Arabidopsis thaliana: one gene and its partners. The protein of the gene in region 1 purifies or fractionates together with the protein of each later gene. This does not show direct contact. Each region holds a gene or a part of one and is shown in the gene's direction. Other genes may lie near its edges.

What was found.
Region 2: the proteins of AT3G08530 (region 1) and AT5G67510 fractionate together in Arabidopsis thaliana (co-fractionation; one large-scale study listed by BioGRID). This does not show direct contact.
Region 3: the proteins of AT3G08530 (region 1) and AT4G15000 fractionate together in Arabidopsis thaliana (co-fractionation; one large-scale study listed by BioGRID). This does not show direct contact.
Region 4: the proteins of AT3G08530 (region 1) and AT3G22230 fractionate together in Arabidopsis thaliana (co-fractionation; one large-scale study listed by BioGRID). This does not show direct contact.

The regions. Positions count from the first base shown.
Region 1 is NC_003074.8:2,590,014-2,599,156, reverse strand, and holds the start of AT3G08530 (Clathrin, heavy chain), read left to right. Parts: upstream 1-3,502; 5' UTR 3,503-3,745; coding exon 3,746-3,790; intron 3,791-4,142; coding exon 4,143-4,347; intron 4,348-4,453; coding exon 4,454-4,542; intron 4,543-4,659; coding exon 4,660-4,738; intron 4,739-4,813; coding exon 4,814-4,941; intron 4,942-5,043; coding exon 5,044-5,142; intron 5,143-5,222; coding exon 5,223-5,331; intron 5,332-5,438; coding exon 5,439-5,518; intron 5,519-5,601; coding exon 5,602-5,829; intron 5,830-5,915; coding exon 5,916-5,981; intron 5,982-6,108; coding exon 6,109-6,225; intron 6,226-6,318; coding exon 6,319-6,516; intron 6,517-6,599; coding exon 6,600-6,716; intron 6,717-6,812; coding exon 6,813-6,872; intron 6,873-7,064; coding exon 7,065-7,151; intron 7,152-7,276; coding exon 7,277-7,360; intron 7,361-7,448; coding exon 7,449-7,583; intron 7,584-7,671; coding exon 7,672-7,734; intron 7,735-7,814; coding exon 7,815-7,919; intron 7,920-7,987; and 9 more. Other genes in the region: KOB1 (elongation defective 1 protein / ELD1 protein), read right to left, coding at 11-98, 228-274, 382-523, 730-917, 1,018-1,062, 1,183-1,317, 1,407-1,515, 1,674-1,726 and 2 more.
Region 2 is NC_003076.8:26,932,853-26,940,304, reverse strand, and holds AT5G67510 (Translation protein SH3-like family protein), read left to right. Parts: upstream 1-1,806; 5' UTR 1,807-1,894; coding exon 1,895-2,335; 3' UTR 2,336-2,654; downstream 2,655-7,452. Other genes in the region: APK4 (adenosine-5'-phosphosulfate (APS) kinase 4), read right to left, coding at 65-333, 421-552, 735-963; VDAC2 (voltage dependent anion channel 2), read right to left, coding at 2,655-2,772, 3,213-3,488, 3,573-3,781, 3,873-3,959, 4,047-4,157, 4,737-4,804, 5,034-5,082; AT5G67490 (succinate dehydrogenase assembly factor), read left to right, coding at 5,611-5,937.
Region 3 is NC_003075.7:8,567,308-8,574,843, forward strand, and holds AT4G15000 (Ribosomal L27e protein family), read left to right. Parts: upstream 1-4,508; 5' UTR 4,509-4,588; coding exon 4,589-4,996; 3' UTR 4,997-5,054; coding exon of another isoform or gene 5,055-5,080; 3' UTR 5,081-5,374; downstream 5,375-7,536. Other genes in the region: AT4G14990 (Topoisomerase II-associated protein PAT1), read right to left, coding at 1-984, 1,209-1,284, 1,460-1,516, 1,611-1,756, 2,153-2,204; AT4G15010 (Mitochondrial substrate carrier family protein), read right to left, coding at 5,818-6,012, 6,107-6,242, 6,338-6,854, 7,112-7,207, 7,285-7,360, 7,441-7,536.
Region 4 is NC_003074.8:7,840,836-7,848,316, reverse strand, and holds AT3G22230 (Ribosomal L27e protein family), read left to right. Parts: upstream 1-3,719; 5' UTR 3,720-3,773; coding exon 3,774-4,181; 3' UTR 4,182-4,781; downstream 4,782-7,481. Other genes in the region: PCC1 (pathogen and circadian controlled 1), read left to right, coding at 1,754-1,784, 1,896-2,049, 2,177-2,237; AT3G22220 (hAT transposon superfamily), read left to right, coding at 5,959-7,481.

The DNA.
Region 1 (9,143 bases):
ATGTTCTTACCATTGGTGAATAGATGCGAGTCAGAATACCCTTCCTAAGGAGTTTCGTCTTCACGTCTTTGTCACCCCACACAACGTGTTCACGGTACCTACACAGGGTAGATTACTTTTTGATCAAGACCAGATATTTTTGTAATCACAATAGGACCAAACTTGTTCAAAGAGTGTCAGAAGTTATCTATTTCACAAGTAACCAAGAACGATGCTAAGGCTCTTACCAGCTTAGCATTTCTTCGTCAGTTGCTGTTGACGCAATTATAAATGCCTACAATGTTGATCCATACAGCATCATAAAAGGGTAAGAGGAAGTGAAATATAGAGATTTTAAGAAATGACTAAGGACTTTTAGAGATTTTAAGAAAAGATGCTCACAGATCTGTCAAAGTCCAACATAAAGCATCTTTTCACGTCTTCTTTTGTAGGCTTACAGCCACATCGATCACGCCTGGATGTTAAGTCAGAAAATTTTGAATATGTGTAGTGTAGGACAGCAGCCTCCTCCAATTTGATCTCACTAGCAAGAATCATCAGGTTAGTATTTCCAAAAAAAAATTGGCTTCACAAACAGAAAAAATTAACTACGCTGTTAACCGGAACTCCACTCCACTGCTAACTCCTTTAAGATAGTTACATGGTTCTATATTAGAGTAACAACAAAGTCCTATCATGTTCCTCAACCAATAGAAAATTTAGTTATGTTTGAATATATGATAGACATACTTGGGAGTTTTCATGTAATTATGCCATCTGTGTGCTCCATTTGGACGAAGGTGATCTTGAACCCGAGCAACTGATTTGCCGTTACCATAAGTCAAAAAGTAATTTGGATTATTTCGTGTTGCTTCTTTGTACATTCCAAAATATGTATCTTTTGGAAGATGATCATAATTCTTCTTGAACATTGACACCTGCTTGCACCACACATATCTCAGAAGTAATACTAACATAACAAACAAATATTAATAAACCTACTCTCTTACGTAAAGACAGTAATAAACTGAATTATACCTCTGTAAAAGGATCCTTGATATCATCTCTTTCTACGCTGCTTTCCTAAACAACAAAATCCAAAAGCATTATTCATAGCAAAGGCCAGATCATAAAAGAAACTTTAGACTCACAAAACTAGCTGAAAATAAGCAATGCAAGAAGTGTGAATGAGATATCACTCACGTAATTTGGAAATATAACCATATCCACATTTGGAGGAACATCAAGCAGCAACCGTCTTAGTGAGTACTCACGAGCACCTGCTGGGTATATCAGCTCATCAGTGTCAAGATGAAGTATCCAATCCATGCCCGCATCCTGATATTTAGTAAGAACAAGAAAAATGAGAATGTAACATGAGACATGAGTCAAAACTGAACCAAATAAGGTCTAAAAGAAATACTTACCCTAGCCATGACAATAGCCATTTCCATGTTGAGAGATTGTTTGACAAATAACTCATAATTGCAGGGCTTATAAAAGAAAGACGAAAGCCAGGTCTCATTCCAAATCCGGCTGATGAAACAAAACAAAAAAGAATGACAGTAAAATGATCAGTAGTAGAAAATACAACAAAACAATGCTACAATTTCAGAATATACAACAAAACATGTGTTTAGTGCCTTGAAGAGCTATAGCTTTGTCGCAAATATGCAATGGGATAACTAACTAACCTCTTCGCTTGCTTCTCCTCAAGCTCTTTCGTCCTGTATATTACTTTAACACCCTGCAAGAGACATGGGACTACATTTATCGAAAACTGCATACCTTAAATACAAATTTATACCTACAGGACTAAAGAGCTAGAGATATACAGCCAAAACAAAATAAACAGTGGACGCGAAGAGAGGTAGTTCAACTCACAGGAATAGACTCGAGCACTTTAGAAATACTCGGAGTAGCAGCTTTCCCTTCAACGAAAAGGAAGAATGTTGAGACGCCTAGAACCTTATGGTAGAACATCCATGGTAGAATCTGATCCAATCCAGCTGATGTGCTAGTCGTGATACATATCTGTAAACAGTAACAATGTCAAGAATCATATACAACATGGAGCACAAAAAGTGAGGTGACTTTACAAAGACAGATCTGATCAAAAAATGAACTTTGGTATTTCTCAAATCTCTATAATCCAATAAAAAAAGAACAACTTGATATTTCAGATTAGACATTGTAGTAAGATTTAAGAAAAAAAAAAGGAATTTGGAAGTGTAGATCGATCCAAAGACTTGAAATCAGGGGAATTGAAAGTAGTAACCTTAGGCTTTAAGCTAGTATCAACACCAAACTTCCAATCAGCATAGTAAGGAAAAGAAGGAGAAGAGCTGCGAGCTAGATTTGAGCAGTCGGAGGAGGATTGGTGAGACTTTGGGGAGACAGATGAAACAGTCTCCATGCCGGGAAAGACCTCGTGATTGAGATCGGAGCCGCCAGGAACCGACGTAGAGGAACGAACAGAAGCAGAGGCAGGATCGGCGAGACCACCGCCTCGCCATTGGAGGATAAAGGCGAGACAAGCAAGGGAAACTGGAAGTAGAGTAAGGAGAAGGAGGAGCCTAGAGACGAATGAATGGTTTTGGGAAGAAGATGAAGATGAGGAAGAAGCAGATATTAGTGGAGCTCTGTGATGGTGAGTCGATTTCATGGTTAGCTCCACCACTTTGAAAAACAAAAAAAAGTTTCGGAGGAAGAAGACGAAGAAGAAGAAGAAAGACGCGATTCTGAGATCTTTCTTTTTATTTTATTTTCGTGTTTTGGTCGTCTGAGATCTCATCGGTAAAATTAAACTTTACTAACTAAATCTAATTGATTATCAATTCATCTCATTTTATTATGTATAAAAATTGGGAGATTTTCTTCCATTTTTTTTCTTAATCTTTCTCAACTGGATTTGAATTGATAGATTGGAAACATGTACCAACACAAAGAACAGAAGCAATTACACAGGGAGAAACAAATCTCCACACACTAAGCCACTATAAGCTAATAACAACAATAACCTATACAAAACAACAGAGCCATATAACAAAAAAAAAACCAATTCAACCAGGGGAAATGACTCTTTCATCACAGAAAACTGAATGGAACCAAGACGGATGACTTGATGCAACATACAATTGCAACCTGCAATCATCAGTGATACTCTATGACATAATATTCCTTCTTCTTTTGGATCAGATTAATTAAGTTTTGTTTCTAATTATTAAGTCATGACACTTCTTCCATTCTTAATTATTAAGTTTTTTTTTTCTTGTATCAAATCTTTAATTATTAAGTTTTTTAAAAAAAATTATTAAAAGTCATGACACTTCTTCCATTCTTAATTATTAAGTTTTTTTCTTGGATCAAATCTTAATTATTAAGTCATTTATTGTTGTTTCACCTAAGGTACCTTCATTTAAAAGCACCAATTAAAATATTTCACGTGTCGTCTCATTAGAAATTCGGATGCTTAGAGCCCAGTAAGGACCGATATGGGCCGGACCTGGTTATAAATGTAAGACTCTAATTGGATCGCTGTTCGTCATTACTTACCCATATATATTTGTTATTCTTCTTTTCTCAATTTTCTTTCTCTTTCCATCACCTTTCTCGTTCACTTGCTTCAGATCTGGCAGCGATTTCATTTCTTCTCCAGTCTTTCTCTCGTCTCGGTTCTATCTCCTGGCCATTGGCGGTCAGGACTTCTCAGCCGTATATTTGATTCCGTCCCCGGATTTACTCTTGCTGTGATCTGAGGTCAAACATGGCGGCTGCCAACGCCCCCATCACGATGAAGGAGGTCCTGACGGTGAGTTCTCCTTACTCTTCACTCTTATCTTTGAATATTTAGATGTGTATCTCCTGGAATCGACCGTGATTTTCTACGATTAAGCTCTGTTCAGTCTCTTGATTGATTGATTCCAGTTTCCTACTGATCTGAATTCTGCTCGATCGTTGTGTTACTCTCTAGTTTTTCCGGATCGCTTGTTTGGGAATGCATGTTTCTGATCAGATTTCTCTAACTATGCTCAGATCTGTGTTTCGTTAATATATCAATGCCGAATTTCAAGTTGTTGTCTGTAGCAATGTGCTTATGTACTCGGATCTCATAACTAAATAAATGAACTATTTGACGTAACGCTTCATCTTGATTTTTCCAGCTTCCGAGCATCGGGATCAATCAGCAATTCATCACGTTTACAAATGTTACTATGGAGTCTGACAAGTATATCTGTGTACGAGAGACGTCACCGCAAAACAGTGTTGTAATTATAGATATGAATATGCCGATGCAGCCTCTTAGGAGGCCTATTACTGCAGACTCTGCTCTTATGAACCCAAACTCGAAGATCCTTGCCTTGAAAGGTACTTGATTTTTTCCTTTGATCTAAAACCCATAACGGTTTCCTCGAATTCGTAGTTCATAATCCACTTATCTTGATGTTCACTTTTTACTTCAATATTTATGTAGCTCAAGTTCCAGGAACTACTCAGGATCATCTACAGATATTTAACATTGAAGCCAAAGCAAAGTTGAAATCACATCAGATGCCTGAGCAGGTGAGTGTTGATGCAAATATATTTGAACTCCATTATCGTTCCTGCTATACACTTCGTATAACTCTGAATTTTTCAGTCGGGTTTTTTTTTGGATAATAATGTTTCATGTTTTTACAGGTTGTCTTTTGGAAGTGGATTACACCAAAGATGTTGGGGCTGGTCACACAGAATTCCGTCTATCATTGGTCAATTGAAGGTTGTATATTTCAGCCTACTGTCATTTTCTTCATATCTTGTGTTTTCGTTTCTAATTTTCCTTCGGGTTTTATAGGTGATTCTGAGCCAGTTAAGATGTTTGATAGAACAGCCAATTTGGCCAACAATCAAATTATAAACTATAAGTGCTCTCCTAATGAGAAGTGGTTGGTTTTAATTGGAATTGCTCCTGGCTCTCCTGAGGTAAGTTTACTGCGCCACATATTAGGTCAAAAAAAGACATCAAAACTGCTTTCATGTTGTAGATTCTTGACTGATCTTGTCATTATTATCTGTTTTCTGTAGAGACAACAATTGGTAAAAGGAAATATGCAGCTTTTCTCTGTGGATCAACAGCGGAGTCAGGCCCTTGAGGCACATGCTGCATCGTTTGCGCAGTTTAAGGTAACGTCTTTGTTCTTTGGTGAGTTCATCTATGGTCTAATCTTGAACTGTAGTTTGACTTGCAACACTATTAATATTAGGTTCCTGGGAATGAGAATCCTTCTATTCTTATATCATTTGCAAGCAAGAGCTTTAATGCTGGGCAGATAACATCAAAGTTGCATGTCATTGAGCTTGGTGCCCAACCTGGTTAGCTCCCCGACGCAAAACTATATCTTCACTGTTATTTAATATAATTGGTTACGTTTTCTAGGTTGTATTCATCTGATCTTTAAAGGTTGGCGATTTTTTTGCAGGAAAACCATCATTTACAAAAAAACAAGCAGATCTCTTTTTTCCCCCTGATTTTGCTGATGATTTTCCTGTTGCCATGCAGGTTTGCTATTGCATTAGAATTTCAGTTATATGTGTAAGTAGTTAGTGACAATTTCTGGCACTAATTTCTCATTTTCCTGACAGGTCTCTCACAAATTTAACTTGATATATGTTATCACCAAACTTGGCCTGTTGTTTGTGTACGATCTAGAGACTGCTTCTGCTATCTACAGAAATCGGATTAGTCCAGACCCAATTTTCTTGACTTCTGAAGCTTCCTCAGTTGGGGGTTTCTATGCCATTAATAGGCGAGGACAAGTTCTTTTGGCTACAGTAAACGAGGCTACCATTATACCTTTTATTAGTGGCCAAGTATGCTAATCTTTTATGCTATTTTCCCGTTATAACCTACCCTTTTCATCATGTCATGCTAAGAAATCTATGCTTTTGTATCACAGTTGAACAATTTGGAGCTTGCTGTCAATCTTGCTAAAAGAGGAAACCTCCCAGGTGCAGAAAATCTGGTATGCGATGTTTATCATGGATCTGTTGTCTCGGTGAAGTAATTATATAGTTGTTAAATGGCAGCTTGAAGAAAAAAAATGTCATTTGGTATTGTGAAGTTTCTCATATTCTGCTCGGATGTTGTAGGTTGTCCAGCGGTTCCAGGAGTTGTTCGCTCAAACAAAGTACAAGGAGGCTGCTGAGCTTGCTGCTGAATCTCCTCAAGGAATTCTAAGGACACCTGATACAGTGGCCAAATTCCAGGTGTCTATTTCATATCCAAGCAACTATGTGTAAACATGTTTATTTATGATGAAATGTTGGTAACACCAATTTTTCAACTCTATAATTTTGCAGAGTGTTCCTGTACAAGCTGGACAAACTCCTCCATTGTTACAGTATTTTGGGACTCTTTTGACTAGAGGGAAACTCAATTCATATGAGTCACTGGAACTATCTCGGCTGGTTGTGAACCAAAACAAGAAGAACCTCCTGGAAAACTGGTTGGCAGAGGATAAACTAGAATGCAGTGAAGAACTTGGAGACCTTGTGAAGGTAATCTTGAAATGGACGATTTTATTCAAAATGTGTGATATGTCTCCTATGGTGTGTTGTGACGATAAACCTTTCTGTTCCAGACTGTGGATAATGATCTCGCTCTGAAAATATACATCAAAGCTCGGGCGACTCCAAAAGTTGTAGCAGCTTTTGCAGAAAGAAGGGAGTTTGACAAAATACTGATTTACTCAAAGCAGGTAAGCAATAAGATCTATAGTATAACCTCTTCTATTATTTTTACCCTAAAGTTCTGTTGTCTCATGAATTACCATTGTTTCATATTGTGACTTCAGGTTGGGTACACACCTGATTACCTGTTTCTTCTGCAAACCATACTCCGTACAGATCCTCAGGTTAGTGTGGTGCACTCTTGATACTTGCAACATACTAAACTATGAAAGGACTTTACTGAATATATGTGGCGTAAGCACTGGAAGAGTTATGAATCAACTAACTTGTTGAATAATTTGACCTGATGTTATATAGAATGAAGAATCTTTTTCCCACCGTATTAATATCAATAGTCTTTTAATTTTTATTTGCAGGGAGCAGTAAATTTTGCATTAATGATGTCTCAAATGGAAGGAGGTTCTCCAGTTGACTACAACACCATCACTGATCTTTTTCTTCAGGTAGGTCAATATATTCTGTATGCACCAATATTTGTAGCTCATTACTTGTTCTACTCCTATATACAGAATTGTATACAGTAGATGTAAATTATCATGTGCTTATTTGTCTATTTGTGCATATTCAGAGAAATCTGATCCGTGAAGCGACTTCTTTCCTTCTGGATGTGCTAAAGCCAAATTTACCTGAGCATGCTTTTCTGCAAACTAAGGTTGAAAATAGTTGCCACCTTGTATCTCTCCGTTTTTTTCTCTACTCACCTTCTTTCCCCAGACTGTTTAAATCATTTTTCAACACAGGTTCTGGAGATAAATTTGGTAACTTTTCCTAATGTGGCTGATGCGGTATTAGCAAATGGGATGTTCACCCACTATGACCGGCCTCGCATTGCTCAACTTTGTGAAAAGGCTGGACTTTATATCCAATCCTTGAAGGTTGGTACATGTTTTTTACCATTTTTACCGGCCAAATAGATTTATCATCTTCTCACCTTCCAACTTCTTTTCCTTTTGATTTGTGCAGCATTACTCAGAGTTACCTGATATAAAACGTGTAATTGTAAACACACATGCTATCGAGCCACAGGTAGTGCCTCTGAAATATATTTTGGTTGTTAAACCTACTAAGTGGTCAAGTTGTTGCATAACACTCTGCTCCATATGCAGGCTCTTGTTGAGTTTTTTGGCACTCTTTCTAGCGAGTGGGCTATGGAGTGCATGAAGGATCTGTTGCTGGTCAACCTGAGAGGCAATCTGCAGATAATTGTTCAGGCAAGTGGTGTATGATATGATGAATCTTATTGGTTATTTTGACACTAACGGTGTCCATACAATTTCAGGCTTGCAAGGAGTACTGTGAGCAACTTGGTGTTGATGCATGTATTAAGCTCTTTGAGCAGTTCAAGTCATATGAAGGGCTATACTTTTTCCTAGGTTCATATTTGAGTATGAGGTGATATAGATAAAATCTGATCTCGTTTCTGTAAACAAGCACGATTCTTGTATTTATATGCTTATGTTTACAATGTTTCTCTCTGTGCGATAGTGAGGATCCTGAGATCCATTTCAAGTACATTGAAGCAGCTGCCAAGACTGGTCAAATAAAGGAGGTTGAGCGTGTAACTAGAGAGTCTAACTTCTATGATGCTGAAAAGACGAAGAACTTTTTGATGGAAGCTAAGCTGCCTGATGCACGACCTTTGATAAATGTCTGTGATCGTTTCAGCTTTGTGCCTGATCTTACTCATTACCTCTACACAAACAACATGCTTCGTTACATTGAAGGCTACGTGCAGAAGGTATAAGGTTTCCTGGGACTACTTTTAATGCGTTGGAGTTCAGTTTTTTTTTATGAAATATTTATACGTTTGATTCTGTCAAAGGTGAACCCTGGGAATGCTCCCTTAGTTGTCGGGCAGTTGCTTGATGATGAATGCCCTGAAGATTTTATAAAAGGCCTCATTCTCTCTGTTCGTTCATTGCTTCCTGTTGAACCACTTGTCGAGGAATGTGAGAAGAGGTGAATCCTTTTGGTCATCCTGGTTTGCGTTCATAATTATGTCTGTTTAGTTCTGGAAACTCTAATATGTTTCTGCTTTTTCAGAAATCGACTCCGTCTCCTCACTCAGTTCTTGGAGCATTTAGTTAGTGAGGGAAGCCAAGATGTGCATGTCCATAATGCCTTGGGTAAAATTATCATAGACAGTAACAACAACCCTGAGCATTTCCTGACCACCAACCCTTACTACGACTCTAAGGTTGTGGGTAAGTACTGCGAGAAACGTGATCCTACCCTAGCAGTTGTGGCATACAGAAGAGGACAATGTGACGAGGAACTCATCAATGTCACTAACAAAAACTCTTTGTTTAAGTTACAAGCCAGGTATTTTATCATTACTTACGAAAATTCTTGTTACTCTCACAATGGTGACTTTGTAGTTTGTTAATACACAAGTTTTCAATTGTAGGTATGTAGTGGAGAGGATGGATGGTGAT
Region 2 (7,452 bases), on another chromosome or scaffold:
GAGAACCAAGAGAAAGTCAGATTGATGTTGAGACTGGGATTCAAATTCATGAACTTGGAGAAACCTCAATGAAATCTCCTTGTGGTAATAATGCACGGCAGGCAGCTCGTTCTATCCGGTAAGGAGATATTAAACTTGCAATACAGATAATACCAGAATCTGCAAACAGTTTAGCCACTTCACCAACTCTTCGAATGTTTTCAGCTCGATCATCTGCTTCGAAACTAAGATCGCTGTTTAAACCATGTCGAACATTGTCACCATCAAGTATATACGAAAGCTTTCCACGATTGTGCAAAGCTCGACTAAGAGCACATGCCAGACTACTTTTACCTGAAAAAATACGAGAATATTTGAAAGAATCCAGTAGAAACATAACAAGATGTAGTTAGAGATCAATTCAGAAACAAAGGACCAAACCTGAACCACTTAAGCCAGTAATCCAAATCACACATCCCTTTTGCTTAATTAATTCTTGCCTGTCGGATTTAGTAACGGGACAATCATGCCAGACAATGTTCTTTTGCTTTCCATTGATTTGCTTCGTTTCACCTGGTTAGATTATCTGAGATTAGATCTATTCAGATATACATCATTGATCTGTCTACTAAGGTCCAAACTTTATGCTAAAACTATGGAAATTTCTGGTCTCAGGAACCCAAATGTTAAAAACGAATCATAGGAACCCAAACTAGGATTAGAGATGAACCAGAACGGAATTACGTGATTATTACCGGACCGCGATGAAATGGATTCATCTTTTGCCATGATCGGACGGAAGTAGCTCATTCTCCGATGAATTTTCCCGCGAAGCTTCAAACTTTTACTACCGGCGGGATCCGAATTCGTGGAGCTAGACAATTTCAGAAACCGCCGCTCCGATAACCGGTGCGATTCAGACTCACCGAACGCCGGCGAAACGTAGCACCTTCCCACACATCTCGCCATCGCGGCAACATCCATATAAAAAAAATTCGAAAGAATCAAAGTAAAACGCACCGCGAGATTCAACGATTTAATTGAACAGGCTCAACGGTGGACTCTGAAATCAAAAACTTGTAGAGTTTGTTTTTTAACGATCTTAAATTAATATTTTAAGTCGGTAAACAAATAATAAAATAAAACATGTTGTCTATTTTGGGCTTGTGGAATCCGAGTTTTATGAGCGTGACGGCATCATTGGCTTTTGTCGGATTCACCTAATCTATTTGTTTAGTGAGATTCTCGAATCTCGATTCTTGTTTTATTAGTTTGAGATAAGCCTTATCAAATGATATTCAATAAGTGTGTATTTATTTCTAACCTAAATGGATCTTTTATGATTTGATGATTTCCTTATCTCCAACTTAGTCAGTAACCATTACTATTTTTTTTATTTTTTTTTTCATTGAAAGATATATTTTATATTCAAGATTGTAACCAAATATACAAAAAGCCTTATTCAAGATTGTAACCAAATAACCAAATATTCAAGATTGTAACCATTACTATTTCAAGCAGCCTTATTTTTTAATTATACAAAAAAAATAATCAATAACAGTCAGTCTTCTCAAGAACCCAACACATTGTTTTGGAGAGAACAAAATTAAAAAGAATACAAACTCTTTAATGCGTTTGGTTTTAGAATTGAGTACAACACTTAACTTAGAAGTTGACAACAATCTAATAAGCCCATTATATTTCTCAAGGTTAGATTGGTCCATTTTAATGGTTTGAAAGCCCATATAAAACTTATCAAAGCCCATCTGACCCAGAAACCTTCAAAACCCTAATTCTCACTGTGAGAAACGGCAGCGTTTAAGTAACTTTTAATATCTCATATATAAACTCATGCACACAACGCTCCACCTCTTCAGCACAAAAAAACCCTAATTTCTTCACAAATTCAGCGGCGATGAAGTTCAATCCGCGTGTGAGCTCTTCTCGCCGGAAGAACAGGAAGGCTCACTTCACAGCTCCTTCAAGCGTGAGGCGCGTTCTCATGAGCTCGCCGTTATCCAAGGATCTCCGTAACAAACACAACGTCAGATCCATGCCGATTCGTAAAGACGACGAAGTGCAAGTTGTTCGTGGGACGTTCAAGGGAAGAGAAGGGAAGGTGATGCAGGTGTATCGCCGCAAGTGGGTGATTCACATCGAGAGAATCACAAGGGAGAAAGTCAACGGATCCACGGTCAACGTCGGAGTCAATGCTTCGAATGTGATGATCACTAAGCTCCGTCTCGATAAGGATAGGAAGTCGCTTTTGGAGCGTAAGGCTAATGGACGCGCCGCCGCCGATAAGGAGAAGGGAACCAAGTTTTCAGCCGAAGATGTCATGGAGAACGTAGATTGATCTTAACGTATGGTTTTTTCTTCTTCTTTTCTAGTTTTCTATTTTGATTTCATTGATGATGATATGATTCAGAATTCGAAGTTGAATTTTGTGGTTTTCTTATCAATGTACCTCATTTATGCTTATATTTCTAGCTATTGAAATTGGACTGAGATTTAAATCCTTATTGATAATTCATCATTCATTTCAATCAATCGTTGTATACGTTAATTCTTCTTGGTGTCGGACATATAGACTGGTAATTGCAAGTTGTGAATTGTAAAGCTCTACATGATCTCTACACCAATCGTAGAAAAAATGGTAACATTTGAAGTTAGGCTCAACAATATTGGGAGAATCTCCTTTGCGAATGTACCTCGATGACAAGCAGCTGATCAACTAAACCAAACTGGCTCGTTGTAGAAACGGTTTTTATTTGTATCCTCCTATCATTGTTCCTAAATTATGAAACCCACTATCAGTCTCACGGCGGAAGAAGGAACCATTAACTTGTTTATCTAAGATTTGCTAATGTCTAAGAGATTTACATCATATCAACTTGTTTATATGTTTTTTTGTTTTTTTAACTGGATTGTACTAAAAGAAAAGAAAAAAATCACTGAGTGTATATTCAAGAAGAGTGCTTAATTATAAAAGAAAGATAAAAAAAAAACCAAAACCGAGCATATCCAAAAAAAGAATTATCCGTCAATTTCACTGCGGAACTATTTATTGATTCCAATTAAACGTAAGGAAAAAAGGAGGAAAAAAACGCTAACTCTCACGTCCTGCCGTAGAGGAAATCAACAATGAGAGCATACGAGAAAAGTAGGAAGACTCAAGCAGGTCTGATGTGAGTGTGTGTTCTCAAGGTTTGAGAGCAAGAGAGAGACCAAACCTTGGATGCTTTTCTAAAGCCTTAGTGTCAATCTCACTGGAAACAGTCACTAGTGATCTGGGCAGGACCTCGTGCTGCAGAAGAGCACCAAGTGTGCCATGGTTGTTGAGCTTAGCTTTCACTGCAGTCGAATGATCAATCGCATACAATCCACCAACCGTTATCGTGTTTTCATTTGTCGAGAACTTCCTGTAAACCTCACCAACTGCTGCGGTTCTCTTAAATTCATCAAAGTGATGAAGGTATGATGCTTTGAGTGAGTCTCCTTTGTCTCCCCTGGAACAAAAAAAACTCAGATGAGACCCACACAAGCCACATCTAGAGCTAGTGATTGCTTTATTTTGAAATTTGTATTCTTACAATATTATGGAGAGGCAAGCATCTGGTTTTGTCACACTGATCCCGGCATTGTACTTGGTGAAAGTTTTGGAGGTTGTGTCATATCCAGCTTCAGCACCAAATGAGATGACTGGCGAACCAAGAGTAGCTGTTATGTCAATTAGTGGGTTTTGTTTCAAAGCTGCAGCAGCGGTAACTGTTGCGTGGTCGTGGAAGTATTGCACCTCGAGCTGTTAATGAAATTCAAAAGCTGAAGGATTAATTTTCATTCAAACCACTGAGAAGTAAACATCTGTGATTTCATTAAAAAGGAATATAAACCTTGGCGGAATTATAATCAGGGACTTTGAAGGAGGCAATGGCTTTTGTTGATGGGAGGATCTCGGTAAGTGTGACTGTTGTCAAAACCTGTAAGGAAAAAATACAAACACGCTTAACAGATTAATCTGGTTTTAGATGATAAAGTGTATAATAGATCTCTACAACAACGCTTACACTAGAATCAGTGTCGATTTTAACATCAAACAAAGCATTCTTGTACTTGTATTGGGTGGCAACATCAGCAGCATGAACTCCTCCTTTCTTCAGAGCAGTAGACGTAAGGGCCTAAACAACAGAACACAGACCAAAAATAAAAAAAATTAAGGCTCTCCATTCGTATAATTAACCATGGAGTTAGACTGCTAGATCATATGCAGACAATCATTAGGTTTCTAAATACAAAAGTGCAATTAGCTAATTGAAACTGTCACAAACAATAACTTAATAATTTTACTATAAGCAGCGCACCTAAAGAAGAAATTGTAAAATGAATCATATAGTGGAGTTCTTATGGCATATTTTTGTAACCAAAGTGAAATCTATACAAACGTTGACCTCATTTTCACTCATTATCAAACATCTAGTTCTTAAACAGAAGTAAATATCATCCTGATACTCGTTCTCTCTCTCAGTTCCCTTGACAATTACCAACACAGAACTTAAGAAATCGATTTCAACATGGAGATCGATCAGACCAAGAACATATACTCTTAAAGGTCTAATCGCAGCTAAATAAAAACGGAAAACACAATGGTTGAAAACGAATATCAAAACGATACTCCACAAATTTAACCACGCATTAAAACCGAAATCGAACAAGAGTCTGAAAATAGTACAGAGTTTGCATCGATATAATAAACATACCACGCCGGAGGCACTGTAAGTGGAGATACTGAACTTCTGATCGGAATTGTAGTCTCTCGTCAACAGATCTACAAAGAAGGAAAAATCAAAACAGAAACAGCTTAAACTCGATAGGATCACCCAAAATATAATCAAAATCTAAAAATCATTTCAATCTACAGGATAAACAAATTCGAAACACCAGAACTTCGAATCAATGAACAGGCATAAACGCACGCACTAATTGCGCGATTTCAACCGGAATCTTAACGATGAGAGAAGGAATATAGAAGAAGAGCGATACGATGATAATTATACCTTTGGCTTTCTTGCCGATATCGGTGAAGAGTCCTGGACCTTTGCTCATGGTTGATCGGAGATTGAGAGAGATCGGCAGGCGGTGAAGATATCAAGATAGAAGAATTACGACTTGTTTTTCTCGTGGTAGACGAAAATAAATAGCGAAGCCAATACTATATAACAGCCTGTGACTTTTCTTTAGTGACTAACCACTCACAGCCGTTGATGTGGCACAAAAAAACACATGACGCTTTATGAGATAATCGAATCGCTTTTTGGTAATGAGGTCTAATATATAAAAAGGTTACGGGTTCGAAATCAGCCCACGTCAACTTTACCCTCTAATTCTCTCCTATTTGTTTTATAAACATGTTAGGCCTAGCTCCTGATGGGCTTGTTAAACATAATTATACTGGGCCAAATTTACTCTCTAATTCTCTTAATTTATTTATAAACATGTAAATGATTGGGCCTAGATACTACTGGGCTTATTATCCAATTATGGCCCAACCTAAATGACTATCGAACCCTATACTATCACAAACCGTGAAGGTCGGATCTCTTTCTTGATTTGGCCGACACATCTGATCTAACAATGGCGACGAACAACATCGTACGTTTGATCGCTCCAAGCCGATCCGTCTCCTCTAGATTCCTCGAGCCAGTGTCACGGTTTCTAAGCTCCGGTACACCTCCTCCGCCGCAAGCTCCATCTCCGAATCAGGATCTGAACCGGGACGTGAAGCCAGATCAGAATCTTCAACAGAATCTGCAGATGCAGAAGGAAGAAGAAGAGGAAGGAGAAGGTGGTGGAGGTGGAGAGTTTGTGAACGAAGATACTGGTGAGATTGGAGGGCCTAGAGGTCCTGAACCGACTCGGTACGGCGATTGGGAACAACGTGGTCGATGCTCTGATTTCTGAGAGGATTCATGTATCCCTGTGTTTTAGCTTGTTCTTATATATTTCTGGGAAAAATGGAAATAAATTCGTTTTATGTGTTTATGTATTTGCAAAATAATGGAGAAAATGGAAGAAAATGTAGTAGAACTTCAAATTCGTTGCCTTTATTTGGATCATCATTCTCTGGTGATCTTGTTATTCCAGTAATAGTTAATAAGTTCTTCCTCAGGTGGGTTAAATGTGCATCTATACATCTCTATCTAAAAAATTTGGGACACTTTAATACAGGTTTAGTGATGATTTAGAATTAAGGAAACAACAAGAGATGAGTTTAACTAACCTGAGAGTTCAGAGTTCAGGTTTGACATTACCCGGTGGTTACATGAGTTCTGGTCCAAGTTTAGGCATGGCTGCATGGGTCAGTGAGATGATGTCAAGGTATTTCTGTTGTTCAACAACATTGCAATGTGCACTTCTGTGATAACTACAATTGCACAACTGGGTGATGCTCAAATTACAATTAAATCCGTATATGATATAAAATTACAATTAAAAATATCAGTTTACATGATATATGTATTATGTTCCAATACTCTTTAAAAGTTAGAAAAAGATTGGCATCATCATGCATTTTTTTTTTTTTTTTTTTTTTGAAGTTCTTATAACTTTACTCCGATCAAAAACTAAAAAAAAATACAAGAAAATGATCATATAAAAAGCATTTTGACTTCTTCTTCTTCTGTTTTAGATTATTCGATAGAAGAAACGTGGCATTATAGTAAACACAGAAAAAAAGGGAAAAAAGGGTAACAATCAATTCAAGCGAAGCTAAGAAATATGAAGAGAGACCAGTAAAATATTTATGACGCAATTTTGCGGACCTCAACATAATTCACGATTAGTTAACATTTTTGAAGAGAGTATCTGATCATGTGGTTAAAATTAAGACTAATCTAAATTTATCTTTGAAGAAGAAAGGATAATAATACGGATAAAAGTTTGAAAAAACGAACAGCTAATTATGAGCTGTGTAACGCCGAACAAGAACAAAAAAAACAAAGGACACACTGATCTGTTTTTGTACGGCTCTTAAATTAAATCATTTATAAAAAAAAAACATGCAGAGTCGTGTTTCAATTGATAAAGCCGATAATAAAACCAACTTGACGAAAGCTTTTTCAAGAACGAGGAAAAAAGGCCGTTAAGGCGCGTGGATTCTCAGCCGTCCGTTTCGTAACCGTAGACTCCACGCGCCTCTCGGGTAATTTTCGCAGGTGGGTGTCTCTGTTGATGATATGAACCAAGAAAATATCTTCAAATTATTGAACACAAAAGTAAGAAAAAAGTGAGATAATAAGGAAATTAAAACAATAAATTATCCTTTCGGTGGGATTTTTTTTGTCGTCTTCTATTGTTTTTGTGAGTGTGTGTGTTTATATAATGGTAAGAGATCTCTGATCTCTCAAGCTTCTCTATAGAGAGAGTTTCTTCTCATGCTCTTTCTACCAAGGAGAAGATTTTCTCGTTAATTTTGTT
Region 3 (7,536 bases), on another chromosome or scaffold:
TATTCCGCGACCGAGATTGGTGATCCTTCAAATGAGAAGGATACAACTGAGGCTTTGTTCTTGATCCGGATGACTTTTTCGCAAGCCGAGCTTGGTGGTAATAATCATTGACATAAGGGTCACTACTGTGTGAATTAGAATGCTGCATCTTGAGAATACTCTCTATCTCTTCTGAAGTCATGTACTTTGATCTAAACTGCAATCCGCTTTCGCTTTTCTGGCTAGCTAAATCTGATGTCTGTTGAGAGATACCACCTCTGTTCTTTCGACTTCGATGAGACGACTTATGTTTGTGTTCCCTTACTTCACCAACCCCGAAAAGAGCTTTATGTGATGGAGAAGGATAAGAACTATATAGCTGAGATTGTAATGCAGCAAGATGAGCTAAAGATTGTCTCTGCTGAAGAGATATCAACTGTTGTGAAGTAAAACCATTCCGAGGAGGCAGTTGTTGGAGATGTTGCTGTTGCATTAGACTGTGTAACAACGCGGAATGATCACCGTGGAGAAGGCCGGGGTCGGTAACCCAATGAGGAGGTTGTTGCACCATGTTACCAAGAGTAGGACCACATGAGGCATATCTAGCCAAATTATTACCATAATGCGACGGTCCATGTGACAATCCCGAGAGATGGAAAGTAGAATTCGACAACGGAGAGGCGTTTGGAGCTGAAAAGTTCGACTGACTACCACCAGGAAGAGAAGGAGCACGATGAATATGGCTCGGGGAAGACTGTTGAGATCTTTTTCCAGGCGAAGGAAAAGATGTAAACGTCGATTCTGGTACGATAATCGGTTCGCTACTGTAATGTTGTAGCTGTGTTTGCTGCTGAGGATATGAGGATGTCCTATACAGAGAATTTGAATTAGGAGATGATTGTGGCTGTGAAGACCAACTAGCTTCCTGAACTTGTTCTTCAACTGTGTGCTGATCCAACCAGCTTGTGAACTCATTATCCTGAGTCCAATCTGTAGCAGTAGAACCTGGACATAAAAACTACTGTTAGAAAAAAAGCTGATAATGGATTTTTTTTTTGTTGACTTGTAATTATATTTCCAACTACCACAACTTAATACTCCAATCATTCACCTCCAGAAGTGGATATCTAAAAGTACAAGCTCACAGTTTTTACCTTTAGTTGCATAGTTCAAGAAGAAGAAAAAGTAACATAGAAGAACAAGAATAGTAAACAGTAAACAAAACTCACTTTCTCTTGAAAAGGACCCTGATCCTCTGTCACCAATTACTCCAAGGTGTTTGGGCCCGGTAACATTTCTGTTCAGCTGCACAAGATAAGACCAAATAATAAGATAAGTTAAAGTAGAGAACAAGTAATAATAAGAAGCTGAGAAAGACAGATCATTTGTCTCAAGAGAGACGATGAAAAATGGTAACAAAATGATATTAGTAGAAACAGAATTATTTAAAGTCATAATTCGGAATTTACAATATGCTAACCTTTGCAAAAGTTGTGGCAAGATCATCCATGTCAGATAATGATCCTAAACCAGCACCCTGAAACCAGAAGTAAATGTTTTGTTTTATCTTCCATTTATCTCATATATAATTAGCATCAAATATTGCCAAGAACAGACTCAGTCCAAATTACCTCTCTTTTATCAAACAAGTGATACTCTTCATCATCAACATGTCCACGAACAGTACCATCATCATCAAGACCACCCAATTCGACTTCTTCAAGACTTTGACCAAAGAACTCATATTGAGATGCGTCAAAGAGTGCACTATTGTTATCTGCACAAAGACAATAAGATCCAGTTTCATCAAACACATGAGGTAAGTGACAATCAGTTGACCAGAAAATTTAAGTAAAACTAAAGCTTTTGTAAACAAATCTGTGACATTTCAATCATTTCATACAACTTCAAAAATCAAATTAGTAAATCTTATAGGTTACTACAAAACTTAAAAAAAAAACGAATCAAATACTGTAACAAGGAAGATAAATCAAACATAACAAGCATGAAACAAAAAGTATGTTTCTCTTAAAGTTTTCACAAATCAGAAGCAAATCAAATCATTCACATCTCAGATCAAAGAAAGAAGCTTTAGCAAACTGATGAATCACAAAATAAAAACACTTTTATTAGATTTGAAAACAAAAAGAGCTGAACAAGAAAGAGAACTGACCAGAAGAAGTCTTAGCGAAGTTGTAGAAATCTCTAGAATCAGATCTCTCCATGATCAAACACAAAGTAGCAGAGACACGAAGACAGCTAAAACACAAAAAAAAAAAACAGCGAATACGATCGAATCTCCAAAAGGGTATTGCTACTTCTTGTCAGAACTAAAGAAAAGGTAAGTAAAGATTAGCTGAAATCGCTAGAGGTTCCCGATTTTCCGGGATTCATATTGAGAAAGAAGAAAGTCGAAGGAGGAAACTTCTCTTCCTAAAGAAGAGATTTTTGATTAGATTAGATTAGAGAAGAGAGAGAGAGAGAGAGAGAAAGAAAGAGAGAGCCTTTTTTTATTATCTCTGCCCTGTGCTATGCGTAACATTGACACATCTCGAACAAATCCTCATTTCTCTGTCTGAAATAAGCATTTCACCTTTTTTTTTTTTTTGGTTCGTTAAGTTAAAATAAAAGAGAATAAATTAAAAATGTTTTCTTTTGTCGTCAAGGAAAAATTCTCTTCTGTTGACAAAAAATCAAAAGTAAAAATATTCCACTTTCCGAACTTTTTTTTCTTTTAATTAAAATTATACAGTATGTTACTAAAATTAGTGATAGTGATTACAAAAGATAAGAATAACCTTTTTTTAGTGCTGTCTGCTTTTTTATTTTATTATTCTCTCTATTTTAATATTATTTATTACATATTGCTGTGTCTACTAATATTAGTGATCATAAACATTTTCTTATCATAGAAATATAATTTCCTGCGGCATTTGAAAAACATCGACCGATTTCGTGTAATCCACACTACATTCACGATTAAAAAAAATTATTTTTTTAACATATGAGACCACTATAAACAATTATACATGTAAACCATACATAATTTCATAATTTGCATTTCTAGGCTTCAGATTTTATATGAAAACATTAAATAAATTATTGGATAACTACGAGAATTCGTCTTATTTCTGTAATTATTTTGGATAACTACGAAAAACAATTTAATTGATATAGCCATATAGGTTATACCACATCCACTAACTACTAGTATATGATTCTAATTAGTAAGACGATCCTTCTAAATATATGATTCCACCTATTTTCTCCTTTTAAGTTTATGCTTTTACTTGTTTGAAACTCCTCAACCAAACCAAATAAGTTAGTTATGAAAACTTAATTGCATAGAGATTAACAAAATTAAATACACATCGACGAAATAAAATAAAATAACTGGAGGGACAAGTTATATGGTCCATGTGAACGGATTTCATCCGGTCGGTTCAATTTGATCTCATTTGCTAATTTATTATACACAAATTCAAATGGTCTATTTTTTATAAAATATGACACCTATATACTTACTTGCGTAGACACGATATAACCGGCCAAGCAAAGTTTTCTAAAATATATAATAATCTGCAAATATGATGTTAACAGTCCATAATTATAGACTATAGTCTCGCAGTGGCTAGAAAAGTCAAGCATGCAATTTTTAATTATAAATATTTGACACATTTTAGTAGAATTATAAACAAATATATTGATTGCTGCGAGAAGAAGTTTCCAACTTTGTTCGTATGATGAAAGGTAAATTTTGTGATCGAAAACGAAAGTAGACATGTTTGAAAGTCTTAAAATATTGGTAGAAAGGTTTTCGAAATTTTCGTGACAATTAAATTGATAATTTTGAGTATGGAACTTGATCGAAAAATTAGAAGATTTTGAGAAAAAGACAGCATGTTTTTATGCGATACAATGTATAGTTTCACAAACAATTCCAATAATAATATGATAAATGTATAATTTTGTAGATAGTATAAGTGTAATTTTGTAAAAGTTAGTCACTATACATAGTGGTAGTGCTATGAGCAAGCCAAAAAACATATATGAGTAACTAAAATTAGCAGTCAAATATAGAGTTGGATAGCTTCAACACCAATCATAAAAGTTTTATCAAAACCGTTACTAAAAGTTTTACTTTTTTTTTTTTTTACAGCTCTCTCGTATAATTCTTTTGTAAATTTTGCACTATTTCAAAAATACTTACAACTCCAGCTAACAACTTAATTCTTTTTACAGTTTTGTATTATCAATGGGATCCATAACAGTTGTATAATTTTATATATGTCTTTGTTAGTTCAAAAAAAAAAGTTTTTGTAATAATAACTCTTTTGAAGTTTGTACGAACGTAAGAAAAAAAAAAAAGGAAAACTAGAATTAGTATGACCCAATAACTGAAGCTAGGTTTACCAGGCCGTGTGATAAGAATATAAAGCCCAAATTAAAAATGGGTCTAACCTAAAGGCCCAATAACTGAAACTAGGTTCTCTCCGCATCCATTTTCTGCATTACTATTAAAGCCGCATTTCTCATAGAATCCGCCACTTAGGGTTCATAGCAGCCAGAGAGAGAGACAAGTGAGAGGGATCTACCAAACGAAGCAACAATGGTGAAGTTCTTGAAGCAGAACAAGGCCGTGATCCTTCTTCAAGGACGTTACGCCGGAAAGAAAGCCGTCATCATCAAATCCTTCGACGACGGTAACCGTGATCGTCCTTACGGACACTGCCTCGTCGCCGGACTCAAGAAGTACCCGAGCAAAGTCATCCGCAAAGACTCAGCTAAGAAGACAGCTAAGAAATCTAGGGTTAAGTGTTTCATCAAGCTTGTTAATTACCAGCATCTGATGCCTACTCGTTACACACTCGACGTGGATCTCAAGGAAGTGGCGACTCTTGATGCTCTTCAGAGTAAGGATAAGAAGGTTGCTGCTCTTAAGGAAGCTAAGGCTAAGCTTGAGGAGAGGTTCAAAACCGGTAAGAACAGATGGTTCTTTACCAAGCTCAGGTTCTGAAGAAATTTTCTATTTCGTGAGGAATTCATTTTGAGCGTTTTGTTATCGTGTTTTTTAGTTTCTAGGGTTCATTTCCCATGGTGAAAAATGTGGATCCTGTTTTGGATTGTGGAAGATGTTTTGTTGAAGTTTGGATTATGGATTTGATCTTTTATTTTGATTCTCTAATGCATTCTTATTTACTCTTTTGTTTCCGTTGAATTATATTTGCTTAGGCTTGAGGAAATGATGAATTTAGTAACGTCTTTAGGCTGATATTGGTTAAAATCTGGAGGTCCATTGCAAAGAATTCTTGTTCATAGCCTTAGTTAGAAAATTATAGATGTTCAAGTTTCGTAATCTTCGAAATTGAATTTGGTGTTACTAATTGTCTTAATCACGGTTTTGAATTAGCAAAATATCAATAGCTAATTGTTTTTTGAGCAAGGTTCTGATACAATGGCTATATCTCCTTTGTTTATAAGCTTCTCTGGCATTAAGTTTTGATAGAATCGGGAAATGTATTTACCAAAAGTTGAATCTTGTATCGTTTTTGTTAGATTCTGAATATCCCATTGCAAGTAGCTTATTCCTAAACTCGTCGTAAAATACAGCAAATTTTCGAGTTTCATTTGTCTAGGAAATTGATAATTTGTAATCATCAAACTTACAGATACAGCCAATGATGTTAATTATTTATTTCAGAGTATTGAGAAAAACTCACATATGATTTCTCTGTTAACTGTATAACAAAACGCAGGCTACTAAAAAACAATCACTATTGCGGTATCGTTAATCTGATCTAAAGACAGATTTGTAGGCTTATGTGATTGTTTGTTTTCTCACTTGGGAACCAATAAATCGACAGCTAAGTAATAGCTTCCTACGATCACAGTCGATGCAACAGAGCTTCGAGCCATCCTCATCCCAATACCTCGGAACAAGAGATTTCTGTCTGTAGGATGGATTCCTGTCCATCTCTCTAATCTCTTCCCTGGTTTATTCCATTTTAGAAACTTCCTCTCCTTTGCTGTATACTGTAAGTAAAACAATAGAAACCCAACAGAGAAAATGAGTTTCATATCTCTTTGTAAGATAAAGTGGAAAGCCATGAGTAGAGTTTCTTTAAACCTTTGGCAATATTACACACTGTGCACGTGTTCTTGCTGTGTCAAAGCTATGTGATGCTGCAGCTGCAACGGCACCAGATATCCCAGCAGCAAGGCTAATGGCTACCGGAGATAAAGGTCCAACTTCTTCTTCAGAACTGAATTCATCAAGTTTCCGCATAATCATTTTAACAATCAACAATCCAAGTTCAAGTGAATTGAGAATTCAGTGTCGATTGAGAGTTTTAAGTACCTGGGCAGAGGATTCATCCCAACAGCTTTCCAACCGACCATTGCCTCGTGAAGAAACTGCCATGTTGAAAAGAATACTCCACCGTAAATACAATCTCTTATAAGACCTGAACGTAGATTCCTCCATAAAGCTCTATATCCTTCAAGTGATGCAACATCGAGCGGTCTCTTAACATCCATGGCTGATGGTGGGTTTCCTGTTCCAGTCATCATCCAAGGGTACTCTTGCAAAGCAGCTGTCATGTTTGGGTGTTTGTGATTTAAGACGGATAAGAGACTGACTGTTTGTGTCAATGACTTTACATCAAGAGTGTATCTTCTTAGCAGTTTTGTGATCATGGGTGAGACCGGTGCGGTCTCTGCAACAGCGGAAGCATTTGGAGCCCGTGATGCAGCAGTCACTTGTTTTCGGACTTTGATTAGCTCAAATGGAGAAGTCATCACTGTTTCTGCTGCACCTCCCACCAGACCAGCCAGAAAAGCTTCACCAACACTCACGTAGTTATCATGTCGACCATCTGGAGCGAAATGAATTCATATTCAGATTCTTCAAGACAAAGGTATTGCCCAAAAAGGAACCAAATTTGCGTATAAATGACATGAATGTATGTGAACACTGTTGCATATTCTAACATAATCCATGAACAAATGATTGCTGTATTGACTAATTAACTGATGTTATTGAGCTAATTGACAGAGGAGCTAGACACAAAGAAACCTAATCTTGAATCATCGAAATCAGACACAACAAAGGAGACATGGACCTGTGTAATACCTTTGTAGAAAGCTGTTAGAATCTCATAGACACCAAACCTTGCACCAAAACCAGAAATTCTTCCTAAAGTTAACGATCCAAGACCACTGTACAGACCTGCATTTGAAGAACATGTCATTATGCCTGATGCAGAATCAGAAAATGATTGGAATCTAAAAGAGTAGTTTGCGAACCTGAATAGCCAGAGAATCGAAGAACTCTATTAAAAACTTGAAAGGAGCTTAATTTCTTATTGGGTCCTGAACCAACCTGTAGTTCAATGCTATTCTTAATCCCCAGATGAATCTAAGTGATAAAAAGAACAATTTGGTGAAGAAGAGGGAAAAAACCTGGATAATGGTTTTGATGGTATCTAAAGGATAAGCGAGAGCAGTTCCTAACGAGACAGAGGCCGAGGCAGCGATGGCATGTGTCGCAAACTGATG
Region 4 (7,481 bases), 5.3 Mb from region 1:
ATGTTGAAATCAGCTAATTTTCATAAATGTCAGATTTGCAATTTGAATTTTGTTTTGATTCTGATTAAGAAAGACAGGACATCGGAGTTTTTTTGAAAAAAGGCTTTTAACAAATAATAGAGGTTGAAAAAGGCCGTTTTCGTCGCTTTCCTCTTCCCTTTTGCATTTCACAAAATAGCATTTACTTTTTCACCGCAATTCTTTGTTACTCGACAATCACTTGTGACTTAGTTACATTAAAAAAAAAGTGGTGGTATACGACTTGGCTAAGATGAGTCTGTTCTGTATATGTTTGTAAGAAAAATTAAAAAATGGTGGTACGTCTTCCTTAAATTAAGTCCACAACACTCGCTCCACTTCATATTTCTCCCTTCCATCATTCCTCAGCTCCTCAAATCAGAATGAATCAGCTCGAGCACACTTCTGGTAATTCTTCATTTATTATCTAAAATCATGATCAATGTCCGACGTATATTCTTTTTGGCCACATATAATCATGAACAATTATTCTATACACACCGCTAGATAATTAACTAATCTTTTTGGCCACAGTGCAAAAACGTTCACAGAATGCATCAGGACCGGACACAAGTCCGCCGATCGGTTATCCAACCAGAGATAAGGCGGTGGGTGATCCTCCGGCAGCAGCAGAGAAGACAAATTCCAAGGGCTGCTGCGAAGTCGTAATGTTAATATTACAGTACATATCTAATTTAACTTACTTTCTTTATAGATAGTTTGGCTCTAATTATTAGCAAGATGTTCATCCGACGTGCAACTCTCTTTTAATGATCTGTCTGCCTACACTATTGGCAGTTGTATCCAGGGTTGCGGCGAATGTGTCATGTGCTGCGCGTCAGGATTTTCAGGATGATGAGACTCAAGACTTTGCCCAAACCAGAAAAACAACATATACGTAATAGAGGATTCATCAGTATGTTATTTGCTTCACTGGTTGAAAGAGATCCATGATTCCCATTTGCTTCGTCTATTTTGTTTCTATATAAATCAAAGTAAAAAACAAAAATAGCTAGTCATAATTCGTAGCAACAAAATATGACGTAATGATTTTTTATTCCTAAGTTTAATACAATATATAATAATATAAACAACACCTAAGTTTATAAAGTTGTTTTCCTTTGCAGTTTAACAGATCACACCAACATAAGGAACAAAGCCAAAACTATTAATCATGGTTCAAAGGCAGTTGGTTAATCACTTTTTCATTTTCATGAAATGTTAAATTAATTAATCATCAAAAGAGGTTATTTAATTTACATAGAGTTTAGAGCAATACCCAAAAAAAAAAAAAAGAGGTTCTAAAAGACAGTTCCAGGAACAAAATAATTCAAATTTGTTAAATTCCTCATGTTTTACGACGTCATGTACGTGTACGTCATGTACGTGACGAAAGCCATTTCTGCAACAAACCATTTCTCACTTTCATCTCAACCATAGGTATCGCTTTCCTCTGCCCTTGTGCATTTCAAACAATATCATTTGCTTTATCTCTGCAATTATATATGTGTTGGATATAACCAAAAAACCTAGACCTACCACTTCGCTAAGGTAGGTCTGTCCGTGAGTTGTCTGTGATTAGATGTTTTTATTGTTCAATATTGACTCTTCTTTCTTTTATATAATGAATAATGTAAAAAATTTCCTAATATTTGTCTACCTTATAAATTAGAAGCACAACACTCTCTCCTCTTCACAAATCTCACATCCTCACTCCTCAGCTCCTCAAATCAGAATGAATCAATCCGCGCAAAATTACTTTTCCGGTAATTATCTTCAATTGTTTTCTAAAATCATGATCAATGTCTAACGTATAATCATGATGAACAATAATTCTTTACTCACCAACTAGATAACTTTTTTTTTTTTTGGCACAGTGCAAAAACCTTCAGAGACTTCATCAGGGCCGTACACAAGTCCGCCACCAATTGGTTATCCGACTAGAGATGCGGTGGTGGGTGATCCTCCGGCAGCAGCAGTGGAGACAAACTCCAAGGGCGTCAACCCCGAAGCCATAATGAGTTGTTTTAGGTACGTGTATATATATATATATATATATGTTTATAACTTGGCTCTAATTATCCAAGATGTTATTTTTTTATATATCCGGCGTTCTACTTTTTTTTTTTACTGATATGTCTGTTGACACTATTGGCAGTACTTGTATGGAGTGTATCTTCTGCTGCGGCGTATGCTCCAGCCTCTGTACATCAGAGTAAATCAGCATGATGAGACAGAAGTCGTTGCCCAAACCTGAAAAACAACACGTGATAGAAAATCTATATATATATATATATATATATATGTTATAGTAGTCGTTTCTATGGATTTCCACGCATTTTAAAGTTTATTTGTTTCACTGTTTAAAATGAATCATTTGCTTCGTGTATTTTGTTTCTATATAAATAAAAGAAATTAAAAACCAAATAGCTAGTCATAACTCTTTACTACTCAAAGGAAACTGTGTTTTAGTGTTCTTAATTACATCTTGTTTCTGACCAACAGTGAATGATCCTTGCATGGGACTCATTAACTTCAAAATTAACGATTTCATACAAATTATTGTTGTAAGAAATAGATAAAAAAAATGTTTGACGATAGTGAGGAATTAAGGATGGTTGTGTTTCGCTTTAAAGTTTTAAGTGAACCAAACGGATGTGCGCACAGTTCGATTTACAGTTTTAAGTGGTTGTGACTTTATCCAAATATAATTATTACGTGAAAAATGTTTTTTTTTTCAATCACCAATCAATAGAAAACACATGAAAATATTATCCAGCGGGATAATAATAGACGAGCTAGATTTGGTATTTTTATGAATGCGATCTTTTATGCATTAATCAACCAGAATTTGCAAAATATCTGAGTCTGATGCTAATTGGATTAGAAAATATCTGAATCCCGGCAAAACAATTGACCTTCCTATACACGTGAACAATGCGGACTATCCAGTCCTTTGCGAGAAAGCCATAGCCAGTGACGGATCTAGACCCAAATTCTATATGGGGCACTTTATTTATAAAATACTAGTTAAAATTTAATTAGCTAAATTATATTATGATTTTAAAAAACATTATACCTAAATTACAGTTTTGGGAATCGAAATTGGGTTTATATGAAACACACTTTACTGTAAAACCATCAATGCTATCTAAATTTTCTTGTACATACATAGCTAATACACTATTTATAAGATTTAAAATGGGGCACATGCCCACCCAGCTTCAACATGGGTCCGCCCCTGGCCATAGCACAATTGTACAAGGAAAGACTTTGGGTGAGAATCATTAATCCTTGTCTTGAGAAACCCAACTACAAATATCGAATCAATCTCCAGCTCCACTCTTATGATTTGCTTCTCCCAAGCGATATAAAGCCCATAGTAGACTCTCCGTAATTCTGGTAGAGGTGCAGAACAACGTCCAATGTTAACCGTAAAACCGTCACAGCAATTACGTTCTCCATCCCGCAGAGCTCCCCCAGCTTACGAATCTCGACTTTAGTTTTGTAAAACAAAACATATAAAACGATGTCCAAACAAAACATATAAAATGGTGTTCAAAAAAATATTTTCGAATTTGGTGGTTTCAGGGCCTAAAACGATATAAGAAACTTACATGGGCCTTTTAGGATCATCTCATTTTAATGGGCCGAATTCGATATTGAAATAAAACAAATTAGGGTTTTACTCAGCACACTATATAAAGACAATCATCTCTTCAATTAGGGTTTCTTCTTTGCGGTGGTGAGAAACAATGGTGAAGTTTCTGAAGCAGAACAAAGCGGTGATCCTCCTTCAAGGCCGTTACGCCGGCAAAAAGGCAGTGATCATCAAATCCTTCGATGACGGAACCAGTGACCGTCGTTACGGACACTGCCTCGTCGCCGGACTGAAGAAGTACCCGAGCAAAGTCATCCGCAAAGACTCAGCGAAGAAGACGGCGAAGAAATCAAGAGTGAAATGTTTCATCAAGCTCGTGAATTACCAGCATCTGATGCCTACACGTTACACGCTCGATGTAGATCTGAAGGAAGTAGCGACTCTTGATGCTCTTAAGAGTAAGGATAAGAAGGTGACTGCTTTAAAGGAAGCTAAGGCTAAGCTTGAGGAACGTTTCAAGACTGGGAAGAACAGGTGGTTCTTTACTAAGCTCAGGTTCTGAAGAAGAACCTTTGAGATTTTTATCTATCTATCTACTTTTTGTTTAGTTCTAGAATGAATTTGGATCATTGTTTAAGACCTTTTGGTTTGGAATTGATTCTGGATTTTGTCTCTTACTTATAATCTTTTGCTATATTGATGCCTCATTTTATATATTGTCACTGGTTTAATAGCTGAATTGATTACATTGTGGAAATGTTGTTTAAGGTTATTGAAGATGGTCACTTCTGGTTTCCAATTTCGAGATGTTGGAGTAGTATTGAAATGGGTTTCTCTGTCAAATCATTTTCCCTGTAGCCATTGTAGTCAGTCCTAGAGCCATTGTAGTCTCTTTTCTTTACTTGTAGGAGCATATAGAGAGTCTTAGATGCATGTTTGAGTTGTCACTGTTGATTACTTGATTTCGTGTTGATGTTATGGTGTTATAAATAGAGTGTTTTAACTTTTAACGAGATAGGTGTCGAATCTTTCTTTAACCTTGCTGTTTAGATTGAAAAGTTAGGAGATTGTTACGATTGTGTGAGTGGCCATGTATTGTATAGCCTTTGTGTTAGTTGATTTTTTCCTTGTTCAGTCATAGAGACCTGTTGCAATATACGAGATTGAAAACTATTATGTGAAATTTTTGATTTGTGTACAAATACTTGTGACTCTTAAAATGAAACTAACATTGTACAAAATATCACAATGAAAGAATCACAGAACAAGGTCTCTCAACATTTTGATAATCTATTATACATGCACATTGTGGTTTCTGTTTAGCAAACATAAACGAATTTCAGAGATATAGAACGCAACAATGCAAGCCCTTGCTTCAACCGTATTCTTTAAACTCCGTTCATGTTCTAAGCTTTTTTTGACAAAACACATCCTCACACTAATACCGAAGCAAATCTAGTAAAACATAACAATCATTGTAATGTGAGTCAGCACTTGTGATTGGTCTTGAAGTATAACAAATGTTCTTGAAGTATTAACACATTTTGCTTTTTAATTTATCATTCAACTTTACCTTAATTAATTTATGATAAGACTTTGAAAAACAATAATTATCTCTAGATTCTACAATCTCATCCAATATTTTTGACCCAAAATCATTTCTATCTTTGAAAAGACAAATTAAAAGATACCCCACATGAAGTCACTTATCATCATATCAGACCTTATACTTTATACAAATAATCACTTTAGTCCTTAAATTAAAAACCGATTTAACCACAAAAACAAGTTTAAGCCAAAACAAGACAAAAAAAATAAAAAATAAACAAAATTTGTCGTTTTTATAAACCAGAAAAGCTGCCCAACTTCTTCTCCTCTCGAACCCTAACGAGCCGGGTCATCTCAAAAATTTCTCCGACATTGCATTCCTCCGTCGCCTTCAGATTCTTCTCCAGCGTTCCTTAATCTCTTCTTCTCCGGTCGATTCCACCTTCTTCATCCCCAAAACCGAAGTCCTTATACCGTAATTTTATCAAGTTTTTTACCGAACCGATTTCTTGCCGTAACCAACCCGGTCACAAACCTGCAAACCAAAAAAGGTTCGTTCTCTGTTCTTTCGATAATTCAAAAACTCTGAAATTTACGATTTTGCTGCACTGGGTTTTAGAATTTCGCTTTTCTTTGACGGGTTTGATTCAATATGATCCGATTTTTATCTAATCAACGAAAAGTTAACATCTTTGTTACGAAAGTTGTGAGCTTTTTTATGAAAGCTGATGAATTCTTCTTCTAAGTTTGATCTCGTAAATGTTTAATTGAAGGATCTAGGGTTTTGTAGGATGGATTCAGATTTGGAACCTGTAGCTCTAACACCACAGAAACAAGACAGTGCGTGGAAACACTGTGAAGTTTACAAATATGGAGATCGAGTTCAGATGAGATGTCTTTACTGTCGAAAGATGTTTAAAGGAGGTGGTATTACAAGGGTTAAGGAACATCTTGCTGGCAAGAAAGGACAAGGCACTATCTGTGATCAAGTTCCTGATGAGGTTCGTCTTTTCTTGCAGCAGTGTATTGATGGTACGGTGAGACGTCAGAGGAAGAGACGTAAATCAAGTCCTGAACCATTGCCTATAGCTTATTTCCCTCCTTGTGAAGTTGAGACTCAGGTTGCTGCTTCTTCTGATGTGAATAACGGGTTTAAATCGCCGAGTTCGGATGTCGTAGTGGGTCAAAGTACTGGGAGGACGAAGCAGAGGACTTATAGGAGTAGAAAGAATAATGCTTTTGAGAGGAATGATTTGGCTAATGTTGAGGTTGATCGAGATATGGACAATTTGATTCCTGTGGCTATTAGTAGCGTGAAGAACATTGTGCATCCTACTTCGAAAGAGCGGGAGAAAACAGTTCATATGGCTATGGGACGGTTTCTGTTTGATATTGGAGCTGATTTCGATGCGGCGAATTCTGTCAATGTTCAACCGTTTATCGATGCGATTGTTTCTGGAGGATTTGGTGTTTCTATTCCTACACATGAAGACCTCAGAGGTTGGATTTTGAAGAGTTGTGTAGAGGAAGTGAAGAAAGAGATTGATGAGTGCAAAACTCTATGGAAGAGAACAGGATGTTCTGTTTTAGTTCAGGAACTGAACTCCAACGAAGGACCTTTGATCCTTAAGTTTTTGGTTTACTGTCCTGAGAAAGTAGTGTTTCTGAAATCAGTTGATGCATCAGAGATATTAGATTCTGAGGATAAGTTGTATGAGTTACTTAAGGAGGTAGTTGAAGAGATAGGTGATACTAATGTTGTTCAAGTTATTACCAAATGTGAAGATCATTACGCAGCTGCTGGGAAAAAGTTGATGGATGTGTATCCTTCTCTATACTGGGTTCCTTGTGCTGCACATTGCATAGACAAGATGCTTGAAGAGTTTGGGAAGATGGATTGGATAAGAGAGATTATCGAACAAGCTCGAACTGTTACAAGAATTATTTACAATCACAGTGGTGTTTTGAATCTGATGAGGAAATTCACTTTTGGCAATGATATTGTGCAACCAGTCTGTACCAGTTCCGCTACAAATTTTACAACAATGGGAAGAATTGCTGATCTAAAACCTTATTTGCAAGCAATGGTTACATCATCCGAGTGGAATGATTGTTCGTATTCGAAGGAAGCAGGTGGATTAGCAATGACTGAGACTATCAATGATGAGGACTTCTGGAAGGCATTAACATTGGCGAACCATATAACTGCTCCGATTTTGCGTGTTTTGAGGATAGTTTGTTCTGAAAGGAAGCCTGCAATGGGGTATGTCTATGCAGCAATGTATCGAGCAAAAGAAGCAATTAAGACAAATCT